Canis lupus familiaris: one gene and its partner. The protein of the gene in region 2 purifies or fractionates together with the protein of the main gene of each other region. This does not show direct contact. Links are inferred from orthologs where the notes say so. Each region holds a gene or a part of one and is shown on either strand. Other genes may lie near its edges. The genes, in order: RPS3 and ASCC3.

What was found.
Region 1: the proteins of ASCC3 (region 2) and RPS3 purify together in Homo sapiens (co-immunoprecipitation; 4 studies listed by BioGRID and IntAct, with this or other methods). This does not show direct contact. The link is inferred for Canis lupus familiaris from reciprocal best matches to the Homo sapiens genes ASCC3 and RPS3.

Annotation. Positions count from the first base shown.
Region 1 is NC_049242.1:23,294,271-23,310,374, forward strand, and holds RPS3 (40S ribosomal protein S3), read right to left. Parts: upstream 8,255-16,104; 5' UTR 8,221-8,254; coding exon 8,191-8,220; intron 7,153-8,190; exon of another isoform or gene 7,005-7,152; intron 6,874-7,004; coding exon 6,743-6,873; intron 6,242-6,742; coding exon 6,148-6,241; intron 5,661-6,147; coding exon 5,566-5,660; intron 3,454-5,565; coding exon 3,266-3,453; intron 3,054-3,265; exon of another isoform or gene 2,909-3,053; intron 2,803-2,908; coding exon 2,609-2,802; 3' UTR 2,605-2,608; intron 2,144-2,604; 3' UTR 1,729-2,143; downstream 1-1,728. UniProt on the Homo sapiens protein: Component of the small ribosomal subunit. The ribosome is a large ribonucleoprotein complex responsible for the synthesis of proteins in the cell. Has endonuclease activity and plays a role in repair of damaged DNA.
Region 2 is NC_049233.1:59,184,255-59,200,565, forward strand, and holds the start of ASCC3 (activating signal cointegrator 1 complex subunit 3), read right to left. Parts: upstream 10,847-16,311; 5' UTR 10,573-10,846; intron 10,448-10,572; exon of another isoform or gene 10,042-10,447; intron 6,418-10,041; exon of another isoform or gene 6,287-6,417; intron 1-6,286. UniProt on the Homo sapiens protein: ATPase involved both in DNA repair and rescue of stalled ribosomes. 3'-5' DNA helicase involved in repair of alkylated DNA: promotes DNA unwinding to generate single-stranded substrate needed for ALKBH3, enabling ALKBH3 to process alkylated N3-methylcytosine (3mC) within double-stranded regions.

The DNA of each region.
Region 1 (16,104 bases), on a different chromosome or scaffold from region 2:
CTTTCGTTTTTTGAAATCGTTAAAAAAAAAAAAAAACACACCCCAAAGCCTTTCTTTACTGGAGTAATGGCTATCCAAGGGTACGTTCACATTAACTCCAGCTTTACAAACGCATGCCAATAAACCACGTACTTTTCCACATGTGCATGCAATTCAATGAGTTTTACTTTCCTTCCCCAAGCTACTACTTTGATACTTATTTCCTGCTACAGCACCCCCTGGTGGGACATTAACAGCACTTCTGAATCCAACACCCCGAACTTCCAGTTTTAAGTAGATTAAAGAATTTAAACAATTACATAATTTGATACACGAAGACCTGTGACTGGCTGTGCTAGTACTAGACACTGAGGCCCTACATGATCAGGATTGCCTTAACCTGTTACCAGCACCCAGTATTCTGGATGCTATTAGCCTGAACTACTTTCACAGCAAAAAAATCTCCTCACAACTGAACTACACAAGTCCAAAAATACAAGAATTAAAGCAACATAGCTCCAACACTTTTCAGTAAATTGCAAAATGCCACTAGTTTTACCCAGAAGGGATAAATAAAACCCTATTGCCTGGGGCAGCCCTGGTGGCGCAGCGGTTTGGCGCCACCTGCAGCCTGAGGTGTGATCCTGGGGATCCGGGATCGAGTCCCACATCAGGCTCCCTGCATGGAGCCTGCTTCTCCCTGTCTGTGTCTCTGCCTCTCTCACACTCTCAAAAAAAACAAACAAACAAACAAACAAAAACCCTATTGCCTGTATTTCATTAGATTTGGGGGTGGGCACAGAATCATTTATCCAGAGCACTCAAATCTCACTTTACACACATATAGTACTGACGAGGCCCAACACCAGCCTGTCTAAAATCACCTCCTCCTTAGCCCTTCCCAGAAAACTTTCATCAGCTTGAGAAACTGTCACCTCAAGGTGAGGGGAAGAATGGGGAAATAAGGAACATTTACATTTTTTATTCAGGCTCTAGTTCCTAATACATTAGGGACTAGAATATACACATTCCACTCCCTAAAACAGTAAACACGTTAGCTTTGCCAGAGGTTATGGACTTCTAAAGGGAAGTGTCTCTACTAGTGATAGGTGGTCTCAGTTCCATGAACCCTGACAAAAACAGGGCAGCCCTGATGGCTCAGCAGTTTAGCACCAGCCTTCAGCCCAGGGTGTGATCCTGGAGACCAGGGATCGAGTTCCCTGTCGGGCTCCCTGCATGGAGCCTGCTTCTCCCTCTGCCTGGATCTCTGCCGCGCTCTCTCTCTGGGTCTCTCATGAATAAATACAATCTTTAAAACAAAACCACACTGACAAAACCAGCAATAGGTGATGGTCTAGATACAGCATAAATATCAAAGGTTCTTGAAGGAGGGGGCAGAGATACATTTGTCGCTGTGCTCAATGGAACTCATTCCCTATATAGCCACGTAGGATTTTCATGCCACCTTGGTCCCACACTACTTTCACCCAAAGAAACTACGAGGACCCCATTTCTTATAACTATCAATAGAAAGCACTTCAAATATGACAAACTGTAGACAATGTAAATGTTCTTTACATTCTTCTAAAGTATAATGGCTAAAAGGACTGAACAAAGAAGTGTGGATTCTAATAAATGTACTTCTCAGGCTTTTCAGTGGCACAAGCAAATTCCCTTTACACTTCAGACATGCTCAGGATAAAATGTAGAATTATACAAAACTACCTATAGTGTAGAAATGACCGAAAATACAATAGGCACCGTATTTATTTTCTATGTGCAATAAGATTTCTTTATGCATTAGAAAAGAAAAACATCTTAAATATATCCCTCTTCCAAACCTATAACCTCAAACTGTGGGTGAATTAATCAAGGTGCTATCCAACTAGCAATCAGCCTTCACTTTACACAGATTTATAGGATATTACTCTGGTTAGCTGTTTGGGTCTTCCTGTTCTGGCTCTTGCCTCACAACAACAGCTGAAACCAAGGATTTCAGGGAAAATGAGGCCGGCAGCCAACCAAGTTAATGTTCCCTTCAGGCAATAGAATTCTCAGACCAAATAGTGGACAGTCTATTTGTGCCACGTGTTTTACTCAAATATTTTATTAAAGGTCTTCACAGAGTAAAATCCAGCCTCCAGATCCAACTGCCAAGGAGACCCTGAAACCAAATAGAGCACAACAGTAAGAACAGAATCTTCACCTGAATATTGGGTTGTTTCATTTCTCATTTAGGGTTTGCATGAAGAATATATACACACAGAACACCTAGAAACAAACAAAAGGTGCTAGCCATAGAAGAGGATTGGTGATACCTTTTTAACTGCTGAAGGGGCTGCTGAACAACAGGTAACTACTAACAAGAGTGCCTTGATTTTAAGTAAATAAAAGGAAAATTCTTGTTTCAAACACACTGGTAAACATAGGAATGTCTTAGGAGACTAAAGGCAAATCTCTCTTCCTACAGAATCCCTGGTTAAATGGGCCTCTGGCTCCAACCGTGGTAAGTATAATCCAATGTTTACATAGCAAGTGCTTACAACAGTACGGGATATACAATTATTAGGGAGACAAAGGATAAGGGTCCTTCATGCCCACCCCAAGAAGCCCCTAGAGACACACCTATTTATGCTGTGGGTACTGGCTGCGGCATAGCAGGCGGCTCTGGCTTCCCACCCTTCTGTTCCGAGATGGGGGTGGTGGGCAGTATCTCATCCTTGGGTTCCACAATGCTCACATGATCTGGCAGGGGCTTCTTAGGGCCAATCTTACCACTAGGGTCCCAGGGAAGCATGATCTTGACTTTGATGCCCAGCACACCTGGAAGATGCCATAATTAGAATCTAGCTGTGGTTGTACCTGTCCCACAATAGGATAGAGCAGAGTAAAATAATAGTAGGTTACTCAAGCACCCATGGATCCAGTCCCTTCTCAGACAAATGCCTCTAATCAATCAATAAACAGGACACTTTTGCAAAAGGAACCCATGCACAGCACCACAGAACGTGGCACTGACAAGGACCAAGAGCAGGATGTGACCTTTCTGACTCGTCATCGTGTCATCACCGAAGGGTACATAGGTGGCTGAGACAAAAGCAAACCAACTCTTGGATCTCAGCAATTTACTTCTTAGAGGTCAATGCAGCTCGTGAATAAACTCACATGGAGTACAAACATGCTCCACTACTCCCAAAACATGTTCCCTGACATGGAGGTATACATGAAAAAAAAACCACATCTATCTGCTAAAAGCCCTCTGCCTCAAGCACTCCCAGCTGCTCACCCTGTCTGAGCAGCACATGGCGCACAGCGGTGTCAACGTAGTAGTTAACAGGGTCTCCACTGTGAATCATCAAGCCATCCACAAACTTCATGGATTTAGCCCTCTGTCCTCGGAGTTTCCCAGACACCACGACCTCACAGCCTTTGGCCCCACTCTCCATGATGAACCGCAGCACACCATAGCAGGCCCTTTGGGAGAACAAGAAACATCCACCTGTTATAACCAAAGACAAGACTATTCAAGCCTACCCTATCCCCATCCCACCTCCCATTCTCTTTTTTTAAGATTTTATTTATTTATTCACAGGAGACACAGAGAAAGAGAGAGAAAAAGAGAGAGAGAGGCAGAGACACAGGCAGAGGGAGAAGCAGGCTCCATGCAGGAAGCCCAATGTGGGACTCGATCCTGGGACCCCAGGATCACACCCTAGCTAAAGGCAGATGCTCAACTGCTGAGCCACCCAGGCATCCTAACCACCCTGTCATTCTTAAAAAAATAAAAACAAAGCCATAGACTTACTAGTCTACAATATCTTCAGTGTTCCTTTAATGGAGAATAAATTTGACCAGAGCCTGGCAATTCTCCATTCCTATCACACCTAATCTTAAGGTAATTCTTTAAGGAATATATATTCCAGTTCCTTCTAACCCAAATGCTTCACAGCATTGGGTGTACATTACAATCACCTCAAGATTAAACTAGAACAACACCTGTGAAGTCCAAGCCTCACACCAGGTCAATTAAACTGGCAATTACAGACTCAAGAATTTACTCTTTTTTTTTTTTTTTTCATTTGGGATAGAGGACACATGCAAATGGAGGGAGGGGAGATCTTAAGCAGCCTCCACACTCAATACAGATTGAGAGCTGACCATGGTTCAATCTAACAACTCTGAGATCACATCCTGAGCCAAAACCAAGAGTTGGACGCTTAACCAACTCAGCCACCCAGGCACCCCTAAACTGGCAATTAAATGGTGGGGGTGGTATAACTCAAGCATAGGTCATCCAGTCCATCTCTGCAAATGCAGCATTTCACAATGAGTTGGTAAACAATCAGTAAGAACCCAGTCACTGAGCGGCCCCTTTATGGTTTACTAAATATTCCTCAATCTCCAGAATTCACATTTATTAGGAATCCAAGCTACTAATGTAGGCTCCTAGCTGCCCTGAACAGAGTGCTGGAAAAGATACTTCTAGAACTATAAAAATGACAATAAGCCGTAAAATATGCCCCCCACCAACTCATTTATTACTATACACCCTAGGACATACTAATTAGGAGAGCTAGCTGCCACCTTCAACAGGGAAAGTAAAGCAGGACCCACCACTCTAGGTTCAAGCCCCTTCGCATCATCTCATTTAATCACCACTAAAAGGAGAGGTGGATATAATGACCCCCCATTTACAAACAGGAGATCCAAGGGTCAAATGTTCAGTAAGTGGCTCAGGTCTCAGAACTTCCAAGTCAGTGGGTATAAAAAGGGTTGCTGATCCACACTCCTTTTCACTTCAGCAGGTGGAGACTGAGAATTTTTCTAACAATTCCTCCAAGGATATCAGTGATCATAGCCCAAGGATTAAGCTTTTGAGGACCACAGTTCTAAGTAGTGTAGCTGGCATTCAAACCAGCCAGGCAGTCTTTCTTGTATGTCCCTACCTATAACACCTTTCCTGCCATCCATCTCCCCACCAGGTCAATGTTCCTAAAGCACAGCTCTTAATTTCTTCTCCTGCTGAGAAAACCTCCCAGGGCTCTGCAGGAAGTACCACCTAAATTTCATACACCCAGGAAAAGCATTCCAATTACAACAATGAAAGTACACAAAGAGCTCCTACTGAAACCTCATCAGAAGGCCCGGCTCCAGGGCCAATCTAGCTACCTCATACACTCTATAATCCACTCCTCACATCATACCTACATACTGCTCAGATTAGCTCTCTCCCATCAGGACTATGTCTTATGCCTTTATAATCTCCACACTTCATGGAGCTAACTTCAACGGGAACCCTGACCTCCTCTCCCTGGAGTTGTTTTTGTTCTATTACCTAAGCACCAAGAAGTGTACTCCCTTTATAGCACTGACCACTCTTTAAAACATAATCATTCAGGGATGCCTGGGTGGCTCAGTAGTTGAGTGTCTGCCTTTGGCTCAGGGTGTGATCCTGGTCCAGGGATTGAGTCCTGCATCAGGCTCCCTGTGAGGAGCCTGCTTCTCCCTCTATCTCCCTGCCTCTCTGTGTATAACTCATGAATAAATAAATAAAATCTTGAAAAAAAAAAGTCTCAGGACACTTACCTCCGCACAGCAAGGCCTCCTAGGAGTTTGTAACGCAGTGACTCTGCCTGGGCAATAGCACATAGACCTCTTGTGGCCACCTTTTCGGCATAGAGCTTTAAGAAGAAATCAAGGTACACCCTTAAACCTGTTAACTTTCCCCATTGTTTTCAATTAAAGAAAAAAAAAAAACTCATTCACCATACAAGCATGTGGTCACTGTGGCATCCCTCAAGTACTAAAACACTCCTACTACTCATAGGTAGCCTACGCTGTGACATAGTCTGAATCTTTCCTTATTGCCCTCTCATCCCTAGATACTTCTACAGCTACATCAAGTGATGGGATAGCCAATCCATCATACATATCATTACCATACTTAAGTTGAGAGTAAAAAAAAGTCCCTTAACCACCAGAAATGAGCAGAAAAGGCCTATAAAATAAAGCCTGCTACTTATTAAGACAACCAACAAAACACCAATTCATATGTAATACTTGGTGATAACTAAGGTCTTCATGACATTAAGGGTTTATAAAAGTAACCACCCTAAATAACCATTTCCAGGTCCACGGTAATCTCTGGCAAAAGGCAAAATCACTCACCTCTACACTGCCCTCAGGAAAACCAAACCTCTTCTGAACCACAGCAGTCAATTCCCGGATCCTCCGGCCCTTTTCACCAAGAACATTCTGTGTCCTGAGAAAACGAAAATACACAATAGCTCTCACAAAACTGCAAACATGGCTTTAAATTTTACATATATGTGGTAATGAAGTCTCACCCGTCTAACATAGAAAATACAAATTTTGGATGACAAGAGCTAGAATCAGATTTAAAAGGCAGTTACGAAAATACACATTTGTGGGGTGCCACGTTGGCTCAGTTGGTAAGTGTCTGCCTTTGGCTCAGGTCACTCAGGTCAAGATCCCAGGGCCCTGGGATCAAGCCCGGCAAAGGGCTCCCTGCTCCTCCCTCAGCCCCTCAACACCCCCTCCCATCCTCCGCTTTGCACTCTCAGTCAAATGAATAAAATCTTTTTTTTTTTTTTTCAAATGAATAAAAATCTTAAAAACAAAAACAAACCACTTACGTTTGCTAATAAGGCCAATTCACTGGTTCTCCCTGGAAGTTTACAGAATACACCAACCTAGCATATACAACAAGTAACAGGTGCTAACCAGGAAAATGAGATCTCACCTGGTGGCCAGGATAATGATTTCTGTCCTGGTTGGTGTAACTCGGACCTCAACCCCAGAGTAGCCATCTTCAGCGAGCTCCCGAGTGAGAAACTCATTCAGTTCAGCTTTGAAGATGCCATCAGCGACAAACTAACCAAAAGGGAAAATTCACAATTAGAACGTGGGATGGCAGGGTCATTGTCCTTCTGCCAATGCAACACCTCATACAAACATCCCATCATCACTCTTACTACCCTTGTTCCAACACAGAATTTAACAACCCTTCTCAGACAAATGCCTCTAGATCGTCCTTTGGAAGTTACTTTAACCCAAGGACCCTTAAAACTGCCACAGAACGCAGCAAGGAGTAGGGGCCGCCTGGCAAAGATAACACCTCCAGTCAGACTCGTCATCTTCTCTTCATTGAAGGGTTTTAAAGACTTCTTTAGGAGTAGCACATGCCAAACAAACAGCTGCTCTAAAATGGCACATTCACGGGATGCCCAGGTAGCTCAGCAGTTAAGCGCCTGCCTCCGGTCCAGGGCGGCGCAGGGCGTGATCCTGGAGTCCCGAGATCCAGTCCCACATCGGGCTCCCTGCATGGAGTCTGCTTCTCCCTCTGCCTGGGTCTGTGTCTCCCATGAATAAATAAGTAAAATCTTAAGATAAATAAAATAAAATGGCACATTCACAACTCCTTCTGTCTGCAGAGCAGAGATGCTACCTTTGTAACCCATGAAAATACGCTGCCTTCAGGGACCATCAGAAGACTCCCAGCCATGTTATCTTGCCTACAGTACATGTCTCACAAAGCTGAACTCTAATTCGAAAAAGTGTGTGGATTTGCACGACGCTGTGTACACACACAAAATGACAAGTTAGTTGCCTCTTTCTAAAGCAAGCGGACTTTACAGTTTCCGCCTGCGGAAAAGCGAAAAGTTAAAGCTCGATCCAGTGCTCTGTCCGGTTCTCCTCCCTCCCGGTTACTTTCTCCGCGGTAGAGACGGGGCAAGATACAGCAGCCTCTCCAACCGAGGTCTCGGGGGTCAGAGGGCCGCGCCCCGACACGAAGAAGGCGTGCACACGCCACCTCCCCCCCCCAAAGTCCTAGTGAGAGACATTAGGGGGAACGGCCCAACCTCTCAAAATACGCTTACTAAAGCTACCTGTTAACCAAGTAATGCTCCCAAGCGCTTTGTCTCGGGCGGGAGGGGCGCCCGGTGCTCACGTCTGGTCTTCGCCCAGAAGCGGCAGACGTCTCTCATCACTCCCTTCCGCCGCCAAACCGCGCTCGCCTGGCTCGGGCCTCGCATTCAATCCACCGCCATCCGCGGTCCGCGGGAATGCCACGCGGCCCAGGCCGCTTCCCGAAGCAGGGCTCGAAGCTGAGGGTCTCGCGACGGCATCTCGACAAGCCTCGACCCGCGCGGCACCACAGATCCCCGAACCTAGACCCCAGCGTCTTACCTTCCTCTTCTTGGAAATTTGCACCGCCATCTTGCCGCCGCGCGCCCCGGAAAGAAAAGGAAGTGGCTCGTGGGCGGAAGTAGGTATAAAGGGCGCGAGCTACGACAAAGAACTGCGCGACGTCGACGCCTGTAGGCGCTCCTGGGAATTGTAGTTTTTAGGAAGGCATTAAAGAGGGGAAAAAAAGGAGGGGTAATGGAGACACGTATAGGCAGAAACAGGAAAGGGAGCAGATCAATCAGGGGAGCTTAGGTCCAATTCTTATTAGCTTAAGTGAGCAACGTGAGGCGCAGAGATGGAAATTACAGGTATAAACTCACACAGCAACAGCGTGCAATCCTAGTCCCTGCACTCTACACTCAATGAAATTCGTTTAGGTCCAGCCCTTCTGTGTCCGTTTTCTCTGTTCCAAATGCTGGCGATATAAATATCTAATATTTATTAAATATGCTAGGGACTGTTCTATGCCCTTTATATTATGAACTCATTTACCTCTGCCTCACTTTCATAAAGTCCATTAAAACTAGTAACGGAAGTCACCAAGTAGTGGTTCATGGGGTCACAATTATTTTTCCGTTAAAAAAAACTGTACCCCTTATATTTTGAAATTTTCAAGCACACAGGAAGGTTGAAAGAATTATGTATATGCGTCACTAAGGTGATCCAATTAACATTTTTGCCATATTTGCTTTATCCCATATCTATCCATCCCTCTATCCACCCAAGGGTGCATCTTTTGATCTTTTTCAAGGTAAATTACAGCCCTCTGCACACTTTACTCTGAAACACCTCAACAACAGTTTTATTGAGAAATAATTGGCATACATCACTGTATACGTTTGAGGCATGCAGCATGATGCTTTGATTTACAAATATTGTGAAATGATGACCAAAATAGGTTCAGCTAATACCCATCGTGTCATACAGATACAATAAAAAGAAAAGAAGAAAAGAAAAACAAGTTTTTCTGTGATGAACAGTTTTATTTTAAATTTGAATAGTTTTTTTTTCAAAGATTTATTTATTTATTCATGAGAGACACAGAGAGAGTGAGGCAGAGACACAGGCAGAGGGAGAAGCAGACTCCCCACAGGAAGCCTGATGCAGGACTGGATTCCAAGACCCCCAAGATCACAATCTGAGCCAAGGGCAGATGTTCAACCACTGACCTACCCAGGTGCCCCTTAAATTTGAATAGTTTGCCTACATTTAAAAATCAGGAAACTTCTCTATAAAACTCTTTTAAGCTTCTCTTAAAAATACAGAAAGATCCAGCAAAATACTAGACCTACATTTCCTCATGGCAGCCCTCTCCTTCCCTGTTTTATGGCGAAGGGCTTTCCAACATGCCACAATCCCTGGCATCTTCACTCATTCATTGTCTGGCTCTAGAAGCCATTTGAGCTTTTCCCCAGCAGCAGAAAGAATCTGATGCAAAGTTCTGTCCTATACTCATGGAATCACCAGAGTTCTCGGGGGAGCAGAGCAGAGGGACCAGGGAAGATGAAAAGAAGTTGATGGACCAAAGAGATAAGGAGGCTATGGAGCTATGTATCTTGGTGATGGACTGAGGTTGAGGAGGAATTGAGGATACCCCAGTTTCTGACTCCAGCGGTGGAAGCTTGGTGACAACCCTCACTGAGATGAGGAACCCATGATCAGGCTTTTTTTCTGTGTGTTGTCTCCCTGTGCTCTCTGCTCCTTTCCTTATCCAACTCCATGGTCTATTAATTCAATGGTGCCAGACTGATATAGTCTCCACCCTTGTGAGTCTGACCTCTGTGTGCCCCCACTCAGGGCATGGGCACTGTGGGAGCCAGAAGGGGAGCACCCCTTGCATGCATGCTGGGGTCAGCATATTTCCTTGTTCAGATATGTCCCTCATCCTCCTACAGTGTCTGTTCTAATCTTTGCCAAATCAGAACCTCTCCCTCACTCTCAGCAGTCAACTTGCTTCCTAACCCTTTGTCCCCAGGTAGATTATACCGGCAAGAACTGCCTCTCACCCATCTTAGAATTGTATGTGTCCTTGGCCCTCCCTCCCTACTCAGGAAAGAGACTTCTGGTTCACATTTAGTTTTCTTCTTTTGAGACCTTGCCCTAGCAGTCATGGCTTATCTTTCCTGTGATACTATTCTTTTACTGGCTCTTTCCTTCCCTGTGCTAAGTATGTCACTCTCTCTTAGTTGCTCCCATAACCATAACACCTTGTCTCATTGGGTTGGAATGGGCTGCTTATGTCCCACTAGACCATCAACACCAAACCTGTTTTGTTCATTACATCCAGAGCCTAGGGTATGGCCTGGCTTAAGCCCAGTGTCAGTAAAAGTTTGATGAGCAAATAAATCAATGCATGGATTCTGGCTTTAGATCATTTCCTAGTAGCATGGTTCATATGAATTTGCTGGCAAGTACCATATCTGAACCAAACCCTGGAGACCCAAAACTGAGCATCAGACCATGGTGAGTTCTTGGAGGTAAATCCACTGCTGAAGGCTTCATAGTTGCTCATTTACTGCCTTTCTCCAGTGACACTAAGAGGCTGCCTTCTAGGTATTGTGCTCTGGTTCCAGAAGGAAGCCCAAAAAGGAAGCCTTTGTCTTTATCATGATGCCTTACATTTTATCTAAGACCATTATAATAAGATATTAAATTACTCAAAATAACACCATAAAAATAATAGTGGTCACAATACACTGAACTCTAATCCAAGAAGGAACTGTGAGAGTGATTTAATCTCCCCCTGGGTCTCTGAAGTGTAGACAAAGCTCACTGTGTTGAGCCTACAGTGCCACAGAAGAATCCCCAGAACTGGAAAGAGGGAGCCTTGTGTATGAGAACACATACGGCCACATGCAGGCCATGCCAGGGCTCTGCGAGTGCCACACAAGTAGGTACTTTCTTGAAATTCCTGAAAACTGAAGGGGAAATTTGCCCTGGCTGAACAAATACACTGCACGATTTTGGAAGACAGTGTAGTCACTTGAAGACCAGAACAATGGAATCTCATAAAAAGCTTTAAACTTACCTGACTCCCACTAGAGGAAGTCCACATGAAAAAAAGAGAGAGATTTTTTTTTTAAGATTTTATTTATTTCTTCATGAGAGACACAGAGAGAGGCAGAGACACAGGCAGGAGAAGCAGGCTCTCTGCAAGGAGCCTGATGCAGAACTTGATCCTGGATCCTGGGATCACGCCCCGAGCCAAAGGCAGGTGCCCAACCACTGAGCCACTTAGGCATCCCAAAAAAGAGAATTTAAATACTGCAAGTGGAGGCACCTGGGTGGCTCAGTCAGTTGGGTGGCCAACTCTTGGTTTCAGCTCTGATCGTTAGATCGAGCCCCACCTCAGGCTCCAGGCTCACAGGAGTCCGCTTAGATTCTCTCTGTGTCCCTCCCTCCTCCCACACTTGCACGCTCCCTCTCTCAATGAAAAAATAAAATATTTAAAAAACAGTAATAAATAGTGCAAGCGAGGGAGGGAGTGCCTGCCTCCCTCCTCCATGAGCACCTGGCTCCCAATGAGGTAGACAGAGGGCACTTCCACTCCTGCGGATTGTCTAGGTCTCACTTCTCTGAGGGCCTCTCAGAGTGAACAGCTTGGTGGGCTGAGTGTTTGAAGAATTATGTTTTTTTTTCTACAAGATCCCTGAATAAGCTAACAACTTCATCTAGTGTTTGACCAAAGAACTGAAGATCTATGCCAGTCCTGGAGGAAAAACTGAATTCTTAGAAGGTGCATTGGTATCCACGAGGGCGCTTCTGGAGAGATTATTGTACTAGGGTAACATTGACCATATTCGGTTATCACTCACTTTATTTATTTTTTTAAATGTTTATTTATTTATGATAGAGAGAGAGAGAGAGGCAGAGACATAGGCAGAGGGAGAAGCAGGCTCCATGCACCGGGAGCCCAATGTGGGATTCGATCCCAGGTCTCCAGGATCGCACCCTGGGCCAAAGGCAGGCGCTAAACCGCTGCACCACCCAGGGCTCCCTATCACTCACTTTAGATTCTAAGGCCCCACAGTAGGACATGATGATGCTGTCACATTCTTGTTGATTTCATTAGAAATCATCAGTGACTCACTCTGGGCCTGGAATTGAATCTCTGGATATGAAGAGAAGAATACTGTAGAATAAATATAAAAAAAATATTTTTTTTACTGCATTTGTATCGATACTAAAATCTGATACCCCTCCTTACAATAAAAATCAGATCCAGTGTATGATGGAAGGGTGTGAGAAATCCTCGCACTGAGGGGAGGAGGGGATATGAATTGAGTTTCCTTGTGGAGGGTAGCTTGATGGCACCTACTATCACTCAAGACGTAGATTTCCCAGCAAATACACTCCGTTTTATCTACTCCAGAAAAACACTTACAGAAATGTACGTGGAGGTAAGGGCAAGAATACTCTTTCTGCAGTATTACCAGTAGTGAAAAAATAAATTAAAAACAGCCCAAAATCCCTTCAGTAAGGAAATGGCTCTGGAATATCATGTAGCCATTAAAGAGAATGAAGTGATTCAATATATGCACGCGAAAGGAGTACCAAGAGGGCACCTGGGTAGCTCAGTGGTTGAGCATTCGCCTTTAGCTCAGGTCGTAATCCCAGAGTCCTGAGATCAAGTCCCGCATCAGGCTCTCCGAAGGGAGTCTACTTCTCCCTCTGCCTCTTTCTATGTGTCTCTCATGAATAAATAAAAAAATATGAAAAAAATAAAGAAGGATCTATAGCCAAGTGCTAGATAGTTAAGCCTATTTCTGGGAATGGAACAGTATTGAAGAAGATTAAGGGACAATTTACTTTATTGCTTTCCTTATAATAAAAACATATCCATTACCTGTGAACTTAAAAACAAATAAAGAAAAAATTGCAAGAGCCACTTATGGTTTAGATTTCTGATCACTTGGGAAACAGTGTGAATGTCCCAGCCTCCAACACCCAATGCCACAATCCTTTCTTCTGAAAGTTTAAGGCAAAGAAAAAGTTTATTTTCTTAGATTATAGATCTGTACTTTCCCAATCAGTAGCCACTGGCCTCACGGGGCTACCAAGCACTTGAGATGTGGCTGGTCAGGGTGGAAAGTGCTAGAAATGTACAATATACACAAGATTTTAAAATATTTTTAAAAAGAACATCTCGTTAGTGTAGTTTTATATTGATTACATGTTGAGACAATAACATTTTAGATATATTGAGTTAAAATATGTTATTAAAATTAAGTTTAGGGACACCTGGATGGCTCAGGGGTTGAGCATCCGCCTTTGACTCAGGGCATGATCCTGGAGTCCTAGGATCGAGTCCCACACCGGGCTCCCTGCATGGAGCCTGCTTCTCCCTCTGCCTATGTCTCTGCCTCTCTCTCTCTCTGTGTCTCTCATGAATAAATACATAAAATCTTTTTTAAAAAATTAAGTTTACCTGTTTCTTTTGCTGTTCTTTCATGGAGCTGTGAGAAAAACTGGAATTACATATGTGGCTCCCAGCTGTGGCTCTTACAGTTCTGCTGGGCAAAGCTGTAGTAGTCCTTTTGACTGCACAGATCAATGGTTCCTGGCTTCTTTTTGTTTTCTTGGGAGTGGGCACAGTGATTGGCAGAGCCTGGGTGATTAGTAACTGTTCACAGACTTAATGATAGCTCACGTGGAGTGTTACACACCAATCTTTTTCCTCTGTTTGCCTAGGGCCTTGGGAAACTCAGAGATAAATTGCATGCTCGGTTGAGATCCTAGGACCCACTCTGTCTCAGATCCACTCTAGACAGGGGGAGGAGACCCATCAGGGGGAAATTCAGGATTGTTCCTGCAGTCCTAGAGCCAGGAAAGTCAGACCATCACAACCCCTCTTCCACATTCACACACCCTTTGTCTCCTTATAGATTGAGGCCCATGTGGTCCAGTGAATGAATAGAGGTGAACTCAGTGAGACCAATGGTTTAAGTTCAGGTTTTTCTGAGTAAACTGCCTAGGTGACCACTAGATCCACATGGCAGGCTGGGGTATTTTGTTTATTTATTAAAGATTTTATTTATTTATTCATGAGAGACACAAAGAGAGGCAGAGACACAGGCAGAGGGAGAAGCAGGCTCCCTCCAGGGAGCCTGATGTGGGACTCGATCCTGAAACCCTGGGATTACGCCCTGAGCCAAAGGCAGGTGCTCAACCACTGAGCCACCCAGGTGCCCGGGATATTGATTTAAATCCCTGCCTTTGAGATCAGCCAAAGAACTTTTCAGATTGAATGACACTTTGAAGAAATTCCAGGTTTTTTCATTCAGCAAAACTTTCCCAAGTGTCTTTTCAATGTGGCATAATGTTTAAGGTCACAGACTTAAGTCAGACAGCCTGGGTACAAGCCCCAGGTCTGGTTGTTTACTAGCTACATGACCTAAGCAAGTTATCTCTGCATAAATTTCCTCATCTGTAAAATGGATGAAAATAATAGTAAACCCACCTCACGGGACAATTGTGAGATTAAATGAATTAATATAGGGCGACCCCAGTGGCTCAGCGGTTTAGCGGCACCTGCAGCCCAGGGCCTGATCTGGAGTCCCCGGATAGAGTCTCACGTCGGGCTACCTGCATGGAGCCTGCTTCTCCCTCTGCCTGTGTCTCTGCTTCTCTCTCTCTCTAGTAAATAAATAAAATCTTAAAAAAAAGAATTAATATAGGCAAAATGCTTAGCACATAGTAAAGCACCTAGAACATAGTAAGTGCTCAATTAGCATTAGCTGTTACATGGATCCACAGCTTATGCCAGGTCCTGCAGAAACTTATGAATCTGATTGAGCCCCAGTTCAGATCTGGGGACGCAGTGGGGGATACAGATAAATAAGTGTGATAAACATCACAAGTGCCATGGTGGAGACAATAGAGTACTAAGAGGGCAGAGTATTTGAAAAGACATCACAGAGATCCAGTCCTTGAGCTGAGGTTCACAAGACACTCAGGTGTTTGCTAGACCGGTGGACACCTCAGGCAGAATGAATGGGCTGAACCCTTTGGGAGCAAAAGATGGACCTTACCTATTATGAAAATAGTCTTCTGATTCAAGAAATAAAATACATTAATAAAAAAACTTTGAAAAGAATAAAGAAGATAAAAGCAACAGTGCTGTAAGCAGTTTAAACATATTGGGACACATTTCCCCAGATCTCTCCTTAGTCAGTGGACTATATTGTGATGGATAGGTGTGCATTTGCAACATCCCACAAATGGTGTCACCACAATGCACAGGTGCCAGGAAGGATGCCAGTGCCATGCCAGGAGGGTGCAAGGGAATGGAAGCTGGATCAGAGGTGGGGCACTAAGGAAATAATGAATCCGGTTCAATCTGTTTAATATCCCAATTCTGCCCTTTTACAAGCTTTGTGATTTTAGGCAGGTCACTTAATCTTCCTGAAGCTCAGATTCTTCATCTGGAAAGAGAAGAAATGATCATTACTCTCATAGGATTTCTGTGATCCAGTTAAATGGTAGCTTTGAAACACTCGGTATAGTTCCTAGACCATGGAAAGGCTTCATTAAGTGGGGCAGACTATCATTGTTTTTAGCACAGATAAGCAACTTGGCATTTAGGTTTGCCTTAAACTTCAGTGTTCTTGGCTAAGGTAAGTTACCATCTTACCAAATACTTCCCAACACTAAAAGGTGGGCTCACATTGCTGTTCTTTGCAGAAGACCAGAACACACTAGGACTTTTCTTTTTTAAAAAGACTATTTATTTATTTATTTATTTATTTATTTATTTATTTGAGAGAGAGAGCAAGCTGGGGTGGTGAGGGGCAGAGGGAAAGAGTTTCAAGCAGACTCCCCTGCTGGGCACAGAGCCAGATGTAGGGCTCAACCCAGGACCCTGAGATCATGACCTGAGCTGAAACCAGGAGTCAGATGCTCAACCAACTGAGC
Region 2 (16,311 bases):
ATCTGGGTGGCAGGTAGGTTGAGTGTCAGACTCTTAATTTTGGCTCAGGTCATGACTTCACAGTTGTGAGATCAAGCCCCCCTGTCAGGCTCCTTGCTTAACATGGAGTCTACTTGAGATTCTCTCTCTCCCTCTGCCCCTCCCCCAACATGAGTGCACTCTCTCACTCTCTCAAAATAAATAAAATCTTTTAAGTATATATTTTTGTGTGAATATATGTATTTATATGTATTTTTGTACACACACACAAACACATACATCATGGCCATTAAATAAAAGCCAAGGCGAAGGCAGACAATCACTGATGCACCCAGGTATCCCTCTTTTTCTTTCTTTCTTTTTTTTTTTTTTTAAGATTTTATTTACTTATTTGAGAGTGAGAGAGAGGGTGCAACACAAGTGAGGAAGAGAGGAAGTGCTTAGCAGGGAGTCCAACACAGAGTTTGATTCCAGGACCCTGAGAACATGACTTGAGCTGAAGACAGATGCTTAACTGATTGAGCAACCCAGGTGCCCCTATCCTAACTCATTCTGAAGCAAGAAGCAACTGCTCTTCAACAGTTTCCAATCAAATTAGAAATCATGGAGAACAGTGAAAGTAAAGGAAATATAAAAAATATATATACACTTTTTATATAAGTCAACATATATATAATGGTTTATTAAAAATGATATTTATATAAGGTTCATACTCTCTAATTTACCTCCCCCAACTAATTACTTACTTATATGAACCCAGGTTTCCCACTCTAGGAAGAATGGACCTAGTTAGGCTCATAACTATAAACCAAAGTCTTTATATTATAAGAGACCCCTATAATTATATTAATTTTACTTTTTAAGGATAAAGAAAAGCTTTTCTTTAAATGCCCTTGAAAAAAACAAGTATCCAGAAAAACGTATCAGCAGCAGTCATGAACAAGAAGAATATAGTCAGAAAGCATTTCACAAAGACTAGACAAGTTCACATATTACTCCAGAAAACACATACAACAGATACACGACACACTAGGAGTGCTTAACTCTCTTGACACCGGTCCAGGTGAAAAGGTCCTGGGTCAGATTACCTGAGAAAAGCAGAATTCTCATTCCACCCCAAACTATGGGCTTCTAGAAGACAAATGCAAAGAATTTCTGTCTGTCCCTTAATAAAACCTAAATTCACCAAATCAAAACTCTAGTGATTCTCTAGCCTTAGCTGTTTAGAGAAAAGGGTTTTTCTGACCTTACACTTGCTCCTGTGTGTTACAGCTGTATGGAGCACTATTACATTTTCCAATATGAGTTTTTTTTTGGAAATCCAACTCAAGCTTTTACACCCAAACAACTAGGATTATCCACTCTGAATCCAAAAAATATTAATCAAAGGGTATGATCTTAACTTATTGTTTTGTGCACAGTAAAGGAAATTCTTAAATAGCCCTAACACTGACATATAAAAGACGTTAGCACACACTCACTACCCCTCTTTCTCAAGTAGAGAAAAACACTAATTTCAGGACTCAAATTAATTTATATGATAAACAAAAAAATATAAAAACAGAAAAGTCAGTTACTAACTCACTAGGCATTATGAATGCCTTTCTATGTACAAATACACAAAGAGTAAAAATTTTATGATTTTACTACACTGCATTTAATATATACGCTTTATTTAATCTTCCTGAAAAAAACATATCCCAGTGACCATTATTTAACACTCAGGTCTGAATTGTTTATTTCAATATTTATGAATAAAAACTTTACTACTGATAAAAAACCAGAGCACTCTTTTGCTTTGCTGTGATATCACAGCAAAAATGCATTAGAAATATGCCCTGACAAAGTCCATGAGAATGTTTTCTCTGTGCTTTGTTCTGAGTTGAGCCATCACTTCCTTATAAGACTTCATTCTAAGCTACTCAGAGCTTCCTAAACTGAGAAAAACTGTTTGAAAGAGTCAGGACTATTAGTTCTCATTCTTCCCAATATTCTAATTTCTAGGCCATTTTTTTTTAGCAATAAATTATATTTTTTAAAATTGAGAGGAAAAACAGGTTTTGACAATGATATCCCCTACCTTTTTAAAACCTAATTGCTGAAAGAAACACCATGCTTCAAAAAGCATTACAAACATATTTTTAAAATTCATTTTCTCTAATGTTTTAAAAATTATAGCATGTAACCTTAAATTTTTAAATACTAATGTGGTCATTTCTCTAAAAATTCCCGGTTAAGAATTTTTAGTGAAGATATTAGGAAAATCATAATATCTGTTGGCTTTTTTAATAAAAGTGACATCTGTGTAGGTTGAACTATGTCTTCCAATGTTTTATAAAAATTCCCATCTAAATATAGACAATAAATTAATTACTAGATGTTGCTTTCTGATCATAAATGTACTTTTTAAAAAAACTATCTGTACTTAAGTTATCAAATTTAAGCACTCTTTTCCATATTAGTGACTTCAAAATAGGTGAACACACCAGTCATCATACTTTAAGTTTTCTCTTCACCAAGTTAATCAGTTCCATTTCTTCACATCAACCCCCTCATTATGTCTTGGTTATATCCTGTAAATTGCAGTATTTTTTAAAAGAGAAAGATCTGAAGCATATAAGGCAAAAATTTAAACTTGTTAAATCTGCATAACAAGTATATTAGCATTTGTTAATTTATTTTCTGAAATTTCCCATATTCTTGAAATATTCCATAATTAAAAGTTTTAATTAAGTTTCAATAAATACGGAAGGCTAAGAAGAGAGATAATAGTTTTAAAGCATCAAACTGAATGTCAAATCGTATGTTCTGAAAATACTATCTGTAAATTCTTTTTTTTTTAAATATTTTATTTATTCATGAAAGACACAGAGAGAGAGAGGCAGAGACACAAGGCAGAGGGAGAAGCAGGCTCTATTCAGGGAGCCCGACGTGGGACTCATCCGGGGTTTGGGGCTCGATCCGGGATATCCAGGATCGCACCCTGGGCTGAAGGCGGCGCTAAACCGCTGCGCCACCCTGGCTGCCCTTATCTGTAAATTCTAAGGTTAATGAGACTGAACATTTGAACACTGAGCATCTGGGTACTTGTTTAATGTTCCCACACATATTATGCATCAATGCCATTAAAGGGAATAGATAATAATAGGTGACCAAATTTTTGAAATAGGTACCAGTCTTTTTAAAAGGTTAAAGGGAAAAAAAATGAATACAAAGTAAAAGATTAGATAAGCCCATCATAGCAGCACACCTTAAGAGACTATTTGTAAAGACTTGAAAAACACCAGGTCCCCAGGGTCAAAAAGTAAACTTCAAGATGGTAATCTAACCAAGGAAGACTTTAACCTAATCAGTTTTCAAAATATCTGAAAAAGAACCAAAGTGTTCTTTATCCCACTTTTTATTCAGCACCAATAAAAAATATACAGCATTTGGTGAAAACTTTTTATTCATTCATTAATTCGTTCAAGAAAAATGTACTCAATAGGTATATGTGATAAAACTGCTCAAGTGAGGGACGCCTGGGTGGCTCAGCGGTGGAGCATCTGCCTTTGGCTCAGGGTATGATCCTGGAGTCCCTGCTTCTCCCTCTGCCTGTGTGTCTCTGCCTCTCTCTATGTCTCTCATGAATATATAAATAAAATATTTAAAAAATTGCTGAAGTGAAATTGTTCCCTCTCTCCTTATTACTAATATTTTCTTTTCTACTGATCATCTCCAAAGCCTAAAAATACAGTATAGGAGCTCCCATACTTAAAAACCTCCACTGACTCCATAGACCTCTTAATTAACACCCTACTTTTCAGCTTATCTACAAAGAAATTCCATTCCAATCAGACTTTTAGCTCCACTGTTTCACCACAAGAGCTATTAGTATCACAAATAATCCCCACATTGCCAAATTCAATGTTAATTCTCAGTTCTTGTTTAATTCCGGTTTTTGACCTAGCCCTTGTAGAGACAGTTGCCTCACTTTGCATCTAGAACACCAATATCTCTTGTTTTTTTTTTTTTTTATCCAACAATACTGGCACTTTTTTCTCCCATTGGTTCCTCCTTATCCTCCTATCCTTTAAGCATTGCTGTGTCCCAAGAACAGAGATCAAGACCTGCTCTCCAGCTACACTTGTTCCTTAGGTGATCTCATTCAGTCTCAAGTCTTTATGTATTATTTATATGCTAATTCCTAATTCTTAACTTACACATCCTGTACATCACTCCTATACTCCAGATTTGTATACACATTAGCTCTTCCACATCTCCACTTGTATGTCTAATAGGTCAACTCAAGCTTAGAAATATCAAAATTGCTCTCCCACTGCAAATCTCCTCCCGATGGTCTACCTCACTTAAGTGATCACAACTCCATTCTGCCTGTTGGCTCAGGCCAAAAAAACTTGGGAGTTATGCTTTACTCATCAGCAAACTCTCCCAACTCTACCTTCAAAATATTTTCAGAATCTGACCTCTTCTCACTATCACCCTTTCTTCCCTGGTGATTATTACAATCCCCTATCTAGTCTCCCAATTTTCATCCTTACTTTCTAACAATCTAGTTTCCACACATAAACAAGAATGATTCTTTCCCCAAAGAGGTAACATTTGTGGCTCCTTCTCTGCTCAAAATCCTTCAACGGTTTCCCATATCTCTGAGTAAACTTCAAAAGACTTAAAAGAACTTAACTTTCTCTTACATTTTGATGTGATCTCCTGTAACTCTCCTCCTGTTATATTGGGACATCCATATTGGCCTTCTTTCCACTGATGTGGATACAGATCTCTGCACGAACACTTTTCTCCCACATGCCACATAGGTAGCTCTTTCATTTCCTCAGGTCTCTGCTCAAATGTCTCTTTACCAGAGAAGCCTTCTCTGATCACCCTATCTAAAATGGCACCCCCTTTCTTGGTCCTTCTCTTCCATCCAATCACTTTACTTCATGGCATTTATCACATGACACACGTTTCCTGTGTTTTCATCAGCTTCATCAAACAGAATATGAGCCCCATGAAGGTGAGAATTTTGCTTTGTTCATTAAAGTATCCACATTATCTAAAATACTGTTTGGGGCATAGCAGGTCCTCAGTAAGTACCTGTGTAATGGCCAGATGGATGGACTGACAGGAAGGATGGCCAAAGTGGCCATAAAAAAGGGCCAGTATTTACAGATCTGAATACACACACATATGTGTGCACACAAAAACATATATATATAAAATAAATTTTTTTACATCATCTTCAAGACCTCAAAAATATTTTCCCACATAAGTTAATTTAATCATTAATTTATTTTAGTCTTGAATAAGAGATATTTTACAAACTAGTAAATTTTCTCAAATACAAAAATAAAAACCTAATGTGATTTATTCAACTCATGATGTCACTCTTCTCAAAGAACTCAATAACTTATACATGCAGAAATTTAATTTTAAAATTAATATTTAAGCACTTTCTAACTATCAGGCTAATAGAAAACAAAAAGCAATGATAAAAGCTGACAGTAGCTAGAAAGCCTAGGCTAGGAGTGGGCTCAGAAGGAAATCCATAACAGAAGAATGTAGGAACAGCTTTCAGTCACCTGGTATTTCTTAACTAACATTTTTATTATATTCAATAAATACCAAGTGAATAGCTCTGAAAAACTAGAGCTGTATCAATCATTTTACAAACTCCCTAACAGCTCTAATTTCTTCCCAAGCTAATAGACAAAATCAGTAACTTAGGACACCAACTTTTTCGCTTTTTAAATCAACGACAAGGCCTCTACTTTGCTTACTTCAGACTGACCAGACAGCATTCACGGGTATTAGTATTTTTCCTTGCTTCAAGTCAATTCACTGAACAGTCTCACAAAGCCAGCAATTAATCTGTGATTCTTTTCAAAAGTGATCTTTAAGTTATTTCTGTTTCCCCATTCGCAGAGTACAGACAGTGCTAATATTTTGCAAAGTTTCCTTCACTCCTTAAAGAATGCTCAGAAAGACCATTTAGCAAGCCCCGTTGGTGTTGAAAGTACTGCCTAAATCAGGTCTAATTTAGAAAATGCATGCACACTGGGAAAAGATGCACTGAAATTATTTTTTTTTTTGCAAACTGAGTATCATCTTCATATTAAGTTCTTATAAATCATTTATGTAGTGTTTTAGAATTAAGTTTTTTAAATCAAGATGAAGGTATACTTATCTCTGCTGATGTTTAAGAGCAGATTTTAACATTTTTATAGTGTTTCATCTGAGTGGCCTGTTGGGCATTTTACTGACTTTCAAGAAAGTACATAAAGAAATATTTCTAAAAAGACAAATAGAACCCTCCAACAACAGGTGTGTCTGTGTGGTTTTGTCTTTGGACACATAAGAATTAGAGGCAAAGAAACATGGATTTGGAGATGTCTGGGGCCAGCCTTCTCACTGTAGGCTCAAGATCAACATTCAAAATAGGAAAAAAAAAAAAAAAAAAGAGGAAAAGAAAAAAAAGGAAAATTGTCTCATTAATAAGAATTTCCTCTCTTGGAATGGAATATGTTTTCCTTTATCAAAATCACATGCAATGTGTCTTAGCGACACACAATTAAATAACTTGCTAGTCACTGACTTAATTTCAAAATGACCTAGCAAGTCTCTAAAAATGCTAGAAAACTGGGGCAACTGAGTGGCACAGTCAGTAAAGATCTGACTCTTGGTTTTGGCTCAGGTCAGGATCTCAGAGTTGTGAGATGGAGGCCCGCCCACTTTGGGCTCTGTGATAAGCGAAGAGTGGGCTTGGGATTCTCTCTCTCTCTCTCTCGCTTTCCCTCCTTCCTACACACGCACAGGCATGCACACTCTCTAAAATAAACAAATCTTTAAAAAAATAAATAAAAATAAAAATGCTGGGAAACATTAGCAACTGCCTGACTACCCATAATTCTGAGACTAAATCCCTCCCTTCTTTTGAAGTTCTGCTTTAATAGAACAGAATTAAAAATTAAGAGGCTTTTGAATTATATGGTTAGAGTAAAAGTTCTCCAATATGAATTGATTGCATTGGGATCACTGGCATTTCTAGCATTTCTAGACATTCTAGACGTTTCTAGACACCATGCCCAGAAATTTTGACTCAGTACACCTGAAAACCTTTGGTTTAGTTATTAAGTAAGTAGGTATGAACTTTCTCTCCTTCAAATATAAGTATTTCAGGACGCCTAGGTGGCTCAGCGGTTTAGCGTCTGCCTTTGACTCAGGGCGTGATCCTGGAGGCCAAGGATGGAGTCCCACATGGGGCTCCCTGCATGGAGCCTGCTTCTCCCTCTGCCTGTGTCCCTGCCTCTCTGTGTCTCTCATGAATAAATAAATAAAATCTTAAAAATATATATAAGTATTTCTCAACAATGATCTTATTAAAACATATCCTGACAATGCTTACTGCTACCTGTAAATTTATTACATGTTAATAGCTTTTTAAATTATGTACTTCTTCCAAATTCCACCCTTATTTTTCATTCAGTTCAAGCCTTTGATAATGAACTTCCTACAAATTCTCTTTGAAGAGTGAATCACAAAAGTAAAAGAAGATAAACCCAAAATTCCCAAATCAGAAAGATAAAATGAGACTCTATCTTAATTTACTCCCCAAGAGTTAGTCTGTTCAAATAACAATGAAAAGCAAGATAACATAGTTGAAAGTAAAATAAAAATAAGGAGAACTGAGTTCAGATGTCCCATTTTTGTTGATGATAAGAAGTCAGCTAACTTCTCTGGATATCAACTTTCTGATCCATAAAATAAAGCAGGATTTCAAAATGATTTTCTACACCCCCTTCAGGTTGAATGATCTGATTAAATCAGAATATTCAAAGATGGATTAAATTGCATTAAATCTGAGTAACAGAGTTTCAGAAATAAGACAATTTGTAAAGCAGATTATCATAGCAAACAGCAGAAAAATGAAACTGACCAAACAGCGAACATTCTCAAACATACTTGCTCATCTACATGCAAAAATGGAGGACTTAAATGAGATGGTGTATGCTAAATGAATGAACATTTATATAGGGTTGTCTACTATAAGCAAGGCATTATACTAGGCAAAAAGATGTAATAAATAAGTATCTACTTTAAAAAAAACTATGTATGAGATAGACACACAATGCCTACCTTCTTCTTACAATTACTAAATACATAAGATACCTTATTCTTTACGCTTTGGTAATTATGCATTTTTTCTTTCCATAAATGTTTGTGTTTGTTAAAATTTCAACTTCAGACAGATATCTTCTCAAAGTTGAAAACTGCCACATTATATCAAGATATACTTTGCACTGAAAGAGCTTATGCTAACTACCTCCCCAGAGAGGTACTATGAGGCAAAAAGTTTACTTGTCAATGAGTACCATACATATTTCTGATGATATGCTTTGTGCATATAATTATTGTGAATTACAAGTTATTAACACATAGAGATCCAATGAGACCAATGTAAAAACTGGAAAAATAGTCTTTTTCAGGTAGAAACTGACTTCTGATTGTGAATTTTTTAGTTAAGGGTACTTTGCAAAAAGAAATATAATTATTCCTAGGGCTCCTGGGTGGCTCAGTCAGTTAAGTGGCCAACTCTTGATTTCGCTCAGGTCATGACCCCAGGGTCATGAGATCCAGTCACATGCACTGGCCTTCCCACTCGGTGGGGGGTGGGCTTGAGACTCTCTCTTCCTCTGCCTCTGCCACCACTCACACAAACTCCCTCTCTCCTTCTGTCAAAAAAATAAATCTTAAAAAAAAATATTTTTAACTGGCAAAACACTGGCATCGTATACTTTCTTTTTTTTTTTTTTCCCAAAGATTTTATTTATTTATTCATGAGAGACTTAGAGACAGAGAGAGAGAGAGGCAAAGTCAAAGGCAGAGGCAGAAGCAGGCCTCAAGCAGGGAGCCCGACGCCGGACTCGGCCCGGGTCTCCAGGATCAGGCCCAGGGCTGAAGGCGGCGCTAAACCGCTGAGCCACCCGGGCTGCCCCGTATATTTTCTTTTTGATCAAAGGCAAAATCAAGTCATGCTGTTCAAGTAAAATAATCTACTCCTCTTTATTATTTTTTTTAAAGATTTTCATTTATTTATTCATGAGAGGCACAGAGAGAGAGAATGAGAGAGAGAGGCAGAGACACAGGAGGAGGGAGAAGCAGGCTCCATGCAGGAAGCCCGACGCGGGACTTGATCCCGGGATCCTGGGATCACGCCCTGGGCCGCAGGCAGGCGCTCAACCGCTGAGCCACCCGGGCTGCCCAATCTATTCCTCTTTAGAGGCCACTTACGTATAAACATTGACAATAACTTATCCTCGTGAAAAGTCACACTTTGGTTCACTAGAAATCCACGACAGGAAGAGGAACCCTTCAGTCAAGGTTCTCTGGAAAGAGGATATGAGACTACAGAAAGTTCCACAAGCACAGACACTGTCTCTCTCTTGATTTCCTAGGCCTAGCACAGTGCCCTGCACATAGGAAGACATGAATGAATGAAATGATTTAAAAAAAAAAAAAAATCGTTCAGCAGGGATCAAGAAGGCTAAGCCATGAAAAATTAATTCATTCAATTAAGATTATTTAGCCTACACTTAACTGGCATCTCTAATGAGCATTTTTTCTCATGCGAGACTATTATTATAGCCATCATTAAAAGATGTGCGAACAGAAGCGAAGTCCGGCGTAGAATCAAAAGCTGAATTCTTCTCACAACACTTTGAAAATGGGAGAGAGAGGGGAAAAAAAAAAAAAAAAAAGTATCTCTCTCCAAGAAACAAGAAATCTAGTGATAGAAATACCGGCTATTCAATCTAAGCTTACTTAGGGAAAGAACATACGATCCCTAGCTTGAGTGTACGTGTGACACCACTCATACCAAACTTTCAGCTAACACTGAAATCATGCTTCTTTTCCACCAGAGGTGAGCAAAATACACGAACACACTGCATTCAACAAATAAGGTAACTTATGATAAAAGGAAAAAAAAAAAAAAAAGTCTATTTAACACAGCTGCCCCCCCGTAACCCACCACACCTCCCTCACGTGTGCAACACATTTACTTACTTCGAAATGACATTCCAGACTCAGCGTTTACCAAACTCACCCACAATTCACCGTGATCAACGCCCTAACCGGATTATTTACTTTTCGGTGTGGGGGTTAAAAAAAAAAAAAAAATACAAAGCAGGTCTTTTCCCCAAAATCTACGTGAAGAAAACGAGTAAGTAAGTTGCCACGGCTTTGTAACTGAAGAAAGCAACCCTCATGAAAGCAAATTGCCCACGCACGGGGAAGAGCAATCTCCCCATCTGGTCACGTCGGGGCCTAACTCCCAGGCTGATGTCTCGGATCGCCACCCCGACCTACAGATCCCAAGGGTGGGGACCAGACTGTCCGGAGACCACCCACAGGACGTCGGGCCCCAAGAGGGGTGACAGCCCGTGGCTCGCCCCCCGAAACCCGAGGGGGCCGTCGGGCCGCGTGGCCGCGTGGCCGCGTCGCCACCCCCGGAGCCCCCAGCCGCCCGCCGCCCGCCGCCCGCCACCTGCCCCGGGCCGCGCCGCCCCTCCTCCCCCTCCACATCCACCTCCTCACCTCTTGGCCCCGGCTCGCGCGCTTCCCATCACTCGGTCAGCTCCTACCTTGGCGTCCCCCCCTCTCTTTCGTTTTCATTTCTCCTTTCCACGCCGGGTGGGGAGCGAGCGGAGGGCAGAGCTGAAGACGCCAGTGGGCAGCCGCCCCGCTACGCCTTCCTCTGCACCCCACCCGAGCCCGCCAGGGTCGCCCGCAGCCACAGAGCGCAGCGCCCCGACCACCGTCCGGACCCACACGGCCGGCGAGGGGCGGGGCAGGCGCGGGCCTACACGTCACCCGCCCGCCGCCGCGCCAACGTCAGCACGTCGGCTCCCTCGGCCCCGCCCCCCGCGCGCGCCGCCGCCCCGCCCCCCCGCCCGTAGAGCCGCCGAGAGGAACCGGCGGGCGCGCGCGCTCCTGGGACTCGGCCGTCGGGTACCGGGTCGCGCTGCCGCCTCTAGTCACCGCCCGGAGAACCCTCCCTGCTGGTACTCGAGTTGACTGCATCTTATTCTCCGACCTTCTCCCTGAGGTGAAGACGGCTAATGATTCCCGTGAAAGGTGAAGGAGAGAAGCGAAGTAGGGAGCGTGAGGGACCGGGTCACCGTGATCTTCGTCGCCGGCCGGAGCGCCTGGCTCCTGGACCCTTGATGCAGTTAGTTCCCTGGTCCCCCGTCCGCTTGCCCTGAGCTCTCTCAGTTCTCAGCTCAGTTCTCTTCAGGTTTTCTCTGTCAGCAGGTGCTTGGGTCGGACGTCCCCACCGAAAACAAAATACCTGAAGATTCTCCGGCTCATTTGAAAAGACAGGTAGACGATATTTAAAAAAAAAAAATAATAATAACTGACCTCAAGAACTCCCTTGTGAACGTGTATACAAGAGTTCTAGACGAAACATCGGGCATGCAAAGATGGCATGACCTGACTGACGGTCGTGGCTCCCTCCGCTTCCATCCCCTTCCTCATAAGGAATGTGTCTGGATGCCTAGTGGAACTGTGTTTCATAGAAAGGCAGTCAGTGGTGATCCAGTTATGCTTTTCATTGGCCAAACCATAACTGGAGTTCGGTGTTTTAGATAGAGCACTTTATTTTTTTTATTAATATTTTTTAAGGTTTTACTTCTTTATTCATGAGAGACACAGAGAGAGAAGCAGAGACCTAAGTCAGAGGGAGAAGCAGGCTCCACGTGGGAAGCTTCATGTGGGACTTGATCCCAGGACCCTGGATCACACCCTGGGCCAAAGGTAGACGCTCAACCGCTGAGCCACCCAGGTGCCCTGAGATTGAGCACTTTATTACAAACTCAGAGAGGCTGGCATTATTTCAGAGGGGAGCAGATGATGAAGAGGACCCCAAAAGGTAATGCATAAAAAAAGTACTGATTGAACTTGGGAGGATTTTCACGGAAGAGAGAGAGCTACTGGAACATCTCCAAATAAAGACTAGTCCTGTGACTTTAGATTTGTTTCATGTGATCGCAAGAATGCAGTTTTGAGAGAAACAGATTTCAGATCCTGAAAAGAAAATATTCTTCCAGCACTAGTCAGAGAAGTTGTCTGCCTCAGGATGTATGGATGCCTCATTCACTGGATTTGACCTTATTTAATTTTTTAAGGTTTTATTTATTTATGAGAAACACAGAGAGAGGAGGGCGGCAGAGACACAGTCCGAGGGAGAAGCAGGCTCCATGCAGGGAGTCTGACGTGGGACTCGATCCAGGGTCTCCAGGATCAGGCACTAGACTGAAGGCGGCGCTAAACCGCTGAGCCCCCCTGGGCTGCCCGTGAAAGCTTAGTTGGTAGGCACTAGTTGCAGGGGAACCATACATCAAAAGAATTAATTCATGGTTTTATTAGTTATTCCCAACTTTGAGGTTGGATCAGTCCTAGACTTTAAAAAAAATTTACAGGTTAACTTGTGAGGCAAGACAAACGTATTAAAAGATAAATAATGAGAGGAAGCCACCTGATAATGAGAGCTACTAACAATAAGTGCTAGTAATTCACATAACAGATTATCACAGATCATCACAGTTCCAGAGACTTGAGGAAGAAGGAAACTGCAAATGAGCCCTGCCTAGCCGCATTTGGTAACTAACCAAATGCGGTTCTTTACCCTTGAAATATGGTAGATTCAAATGAAGACATGCAGTAAGTGCAAATTATACACCAGATTTTGAAACTTTGTGCCAAAAAAGTAAAATATCTTAATTAGTATATTGAGTACATATTGAAGTTTTAACATTTGTGTCAATATATTAAAAGTAATTTTACCTGTTTATTTTTTTAATGTGGCTACTTGAAAGTTTTAAATTACATAGGTGGCTTGCATCTTATTTCTATTGGACAGTCCTGACCTAGAGGGAAATACACTTCACTGAACTCTAAGAACTATCTTTGTCCTCTTTGTAATCCCTGGAGGGTTTTCGGAAATATTAGTGGGAAGAGTCTGATGACAGAATTCCTAATGAAGAGAAAGAAAACTGTCCAGAAAGTGCCATGAGCAGAGACAAGGAAACTAGATTGCAGATGCACTCCATTATAATGAATAACCTGTTTGTCTACAATAGAAGGTGCTTATTGGAAGGTAGTGATGATAAAGTTAAAATTAGGAACTAATATGTAAGAAGACTCGATTTTTAATTTAAGAAGTTTAGTACTGTAGGCAATCAGGATCTGACCATTAGAAACTGGGATTGTATGAATCTCTTGGCAATATTGACTAGCATGGGTTGAAATTAATGGGTGGTTGGGCAACCAACTAAAACTCCTACTTAAAAATGTATTATTAATAGAGGATTGTTTTAAATTGATGATAGTAGTCTTGCCCCTTATCCAGGGTTTCCCTTTCTGCTGTTTCAGTTACATGAGGTCAACCACAATCTGGAAGCGGATGATCCTTCTTCTGATAAATCATCAAGGGGTCAATAGTGGCCTAATGCTATGTCACAATGCCTGTGTCATTCACTTCACTTCATCTCATCACTAGGCATTTTATCATCTCACATCAAAAGAAGGGTGAGTACACTAGAATAAGATATTTAGAGAAAGAGACCACATTCACATAACTTTTATTATATTTTATTGTAATTATTCTATTTTGTTATTAGTCATTGTTGTTAATCTCTTACTGTGCCTAATTTATAAACTAAACTTTGTCATAACTATGCATATGTAAGAAAAAAACAGGGTATACAGGGTTTGGTACTAGCATTGGTTTCAGGCATCCACTGGGGCAGTCTTGGGTGTATCCCCCACAAACAAAGGGGGATTATTGTACAGCACATCTCTAAAGTAGAATGCTGGGATCCCTGGGTGGCGCAGCGGTTTGGCGCCTGCCTTTGGCCCAGGGTGCGATCCTGGAGACCCGGGATCGAATCCCACATCAGGCTCCCAGTGCCTGGAGCCTGCTTCTCCCTCTGCCTATGTCTCTGCCTCTCTCTCTCTGTGTGTGACTATCATAAATAAATAAAAATTAAAAAAAAATAAAGTAGAATGCTTTATAGGTATTAAAAAAGTATGATATGAATCTATGTTGCTTGATACAGAAATATATCAAAGAGTACAACTGAGTAAATAGTTTGCAAAATAATACATGCACAATATGAAATCCGTATATGTATAATTATATACGTGTGTGTATGTAACTAGATCATTTGACTAATAGTGCCTTAATTTTTTCAAAATTGTCTCAAAAACAGAAAATCTCAAGGTGAAAGTGCTTCCAACATGTTTTCATTGGCTCAACAAAGTCTTCCATGTCTTTGTTTCTTTTCATCTCTATGTTCTGTCATTCTTAGCATTCTAGCCTTTCATTCTCAGCCCTATCACCTCATGTGTTGTCAGAATGGGTTGATACGCTCCTGACTCATTTGCAGCCCAGTAGTCTCTTAGTATATCTCAGTATATGTGTCCACTAGGTCTGCAACAGCTCACCAGTGTCCCACAGCCTCGGCTTCTAGACCTTTTCGGTTTTACCTATTCTCAGTCCGTTGTTCCCCCCTTCATTTTGCATACTCCAGCTTACAACATTGGGTCTTAAAATTCCATCTTTGCTGGACCCCACTGCAGTGTCTTACCTGTAGCTGACACTTAACCTCTGAGGGATGCTTAGTTCTAAAATGAGCTTCCCTAGTCCTTTTAAGAAATGATGATGATATGGAGAAAAAAATTATGATGGCTACTGTGGTTGCCTACCCAATCACCATTTTCCTCCTCTTTCTTAATTAATAAAATGAATTTGTTAGACTACCAAACAGCTAAAGAAATGTGAGCTCTTCCCTTTACCCTGGAAGTAATTCTATTTCCCTTTGAATAAGAATTTTGTAGAGGTGATCATGTGGCCAAGGAATAGTCAGCCATGGGGAATTCTGCAATAGGTTTTATCCAAGTGGCAAAATATATGCTTATAATATCTATAGAGTTATTCTTGACTTACTGTTCAAGATCCGTGGACTAGGCATGTAATTTGCCTAATGTTCTTTCCTATACACTGCTGAAATGAAAATTTAGAATTAGAAACATTGAGGAATAAAGAAAAGAGTAAAGATAGTATGTGTTATATGGAGAGAAGTATGATCAACAGAGAAAAGAAAAATGAAACTTCAGTAATTTCCTGAGAAACAAAGCTAATAGTAGAGAAAGAGACCATATTCTCTGGAATAACACCCAAAACCATTGCCAAAAAATACAATGAAGTAGTTATAAAAGAGTTGGTTGAGGCATGGCAGAGAGTAGAAGTGAGAATAAGGGCTGAAAATAGGGATAACATTCGAAATATGTTACACTTGACTCAGGCACCACACATATTTCCTTCTTCATTTGTAGACAAAGACACCTGCCACCAAACATAGAAACCAAAAATGACCCCAAAAGTCTTCTTGAAATGAATTATGTAAATAGTAGAGAGGAAATGAAAGCTTTTATGTTGACAACAAAGAGAAATACCATTCTCATTCTGGTACTCAGGGCCAGCATCCAGAGAGCTAGTTGCTTGCCTACTCATCTTAAAGTAAAACCTGATATTTAGCATTCCTGGTCCTACAGTACCAAACCTAGCTACTTGTTCACAATTCCTATATAGGAGAGAAAAGTGGAAGACATCCTACTTATTGAAAGCAAAAGAAAACCATTATCAATGACCAGTTTATATTTTTTTATATTTTTAATTTTAAAATTTAACATATTTTAAGATTATAAACATAAATATATATTTTGTCAAATATATTTATGGACATATATGTATTTATATATTATATATTTTATATATTATAGGTAATGTATAAATAAAAATATTTTTATATAAAATGTTATATATAGTATAATACATGTTTACATAAACGTATTTGCATGTGTGTATGTGTATGTATAAACATACAATAAAAAATCAACAGGAAAATCGCCATTATGAAAGAGAAAGACTAAGAAAAACAGAAAAAAGAAACTAAAGGAAATAGATATAACTTATAAAATGAAAAGGAACATTTTTAAAAATCACTCCAATTTATATATTTCAGTATTCAGAATATTATATCTATAAGCTACACACAAGGTACCCTGAAAAAGAAGCAAGCATAGGATGAAAAAGAGTTCTGACACACAAAAAACAGTTACTTAAATGAAAAATTCAAGGGAAAATACTGGCGATAAAATTGAAGAAGTCTAGAACAAGCATACAAAGACATGAACAGAAAATATGAGAAAAGATAAGAGTCATGGATAGCCAATCCAATAGACTAACATTCAACTGCTAGAAAAGAAAGA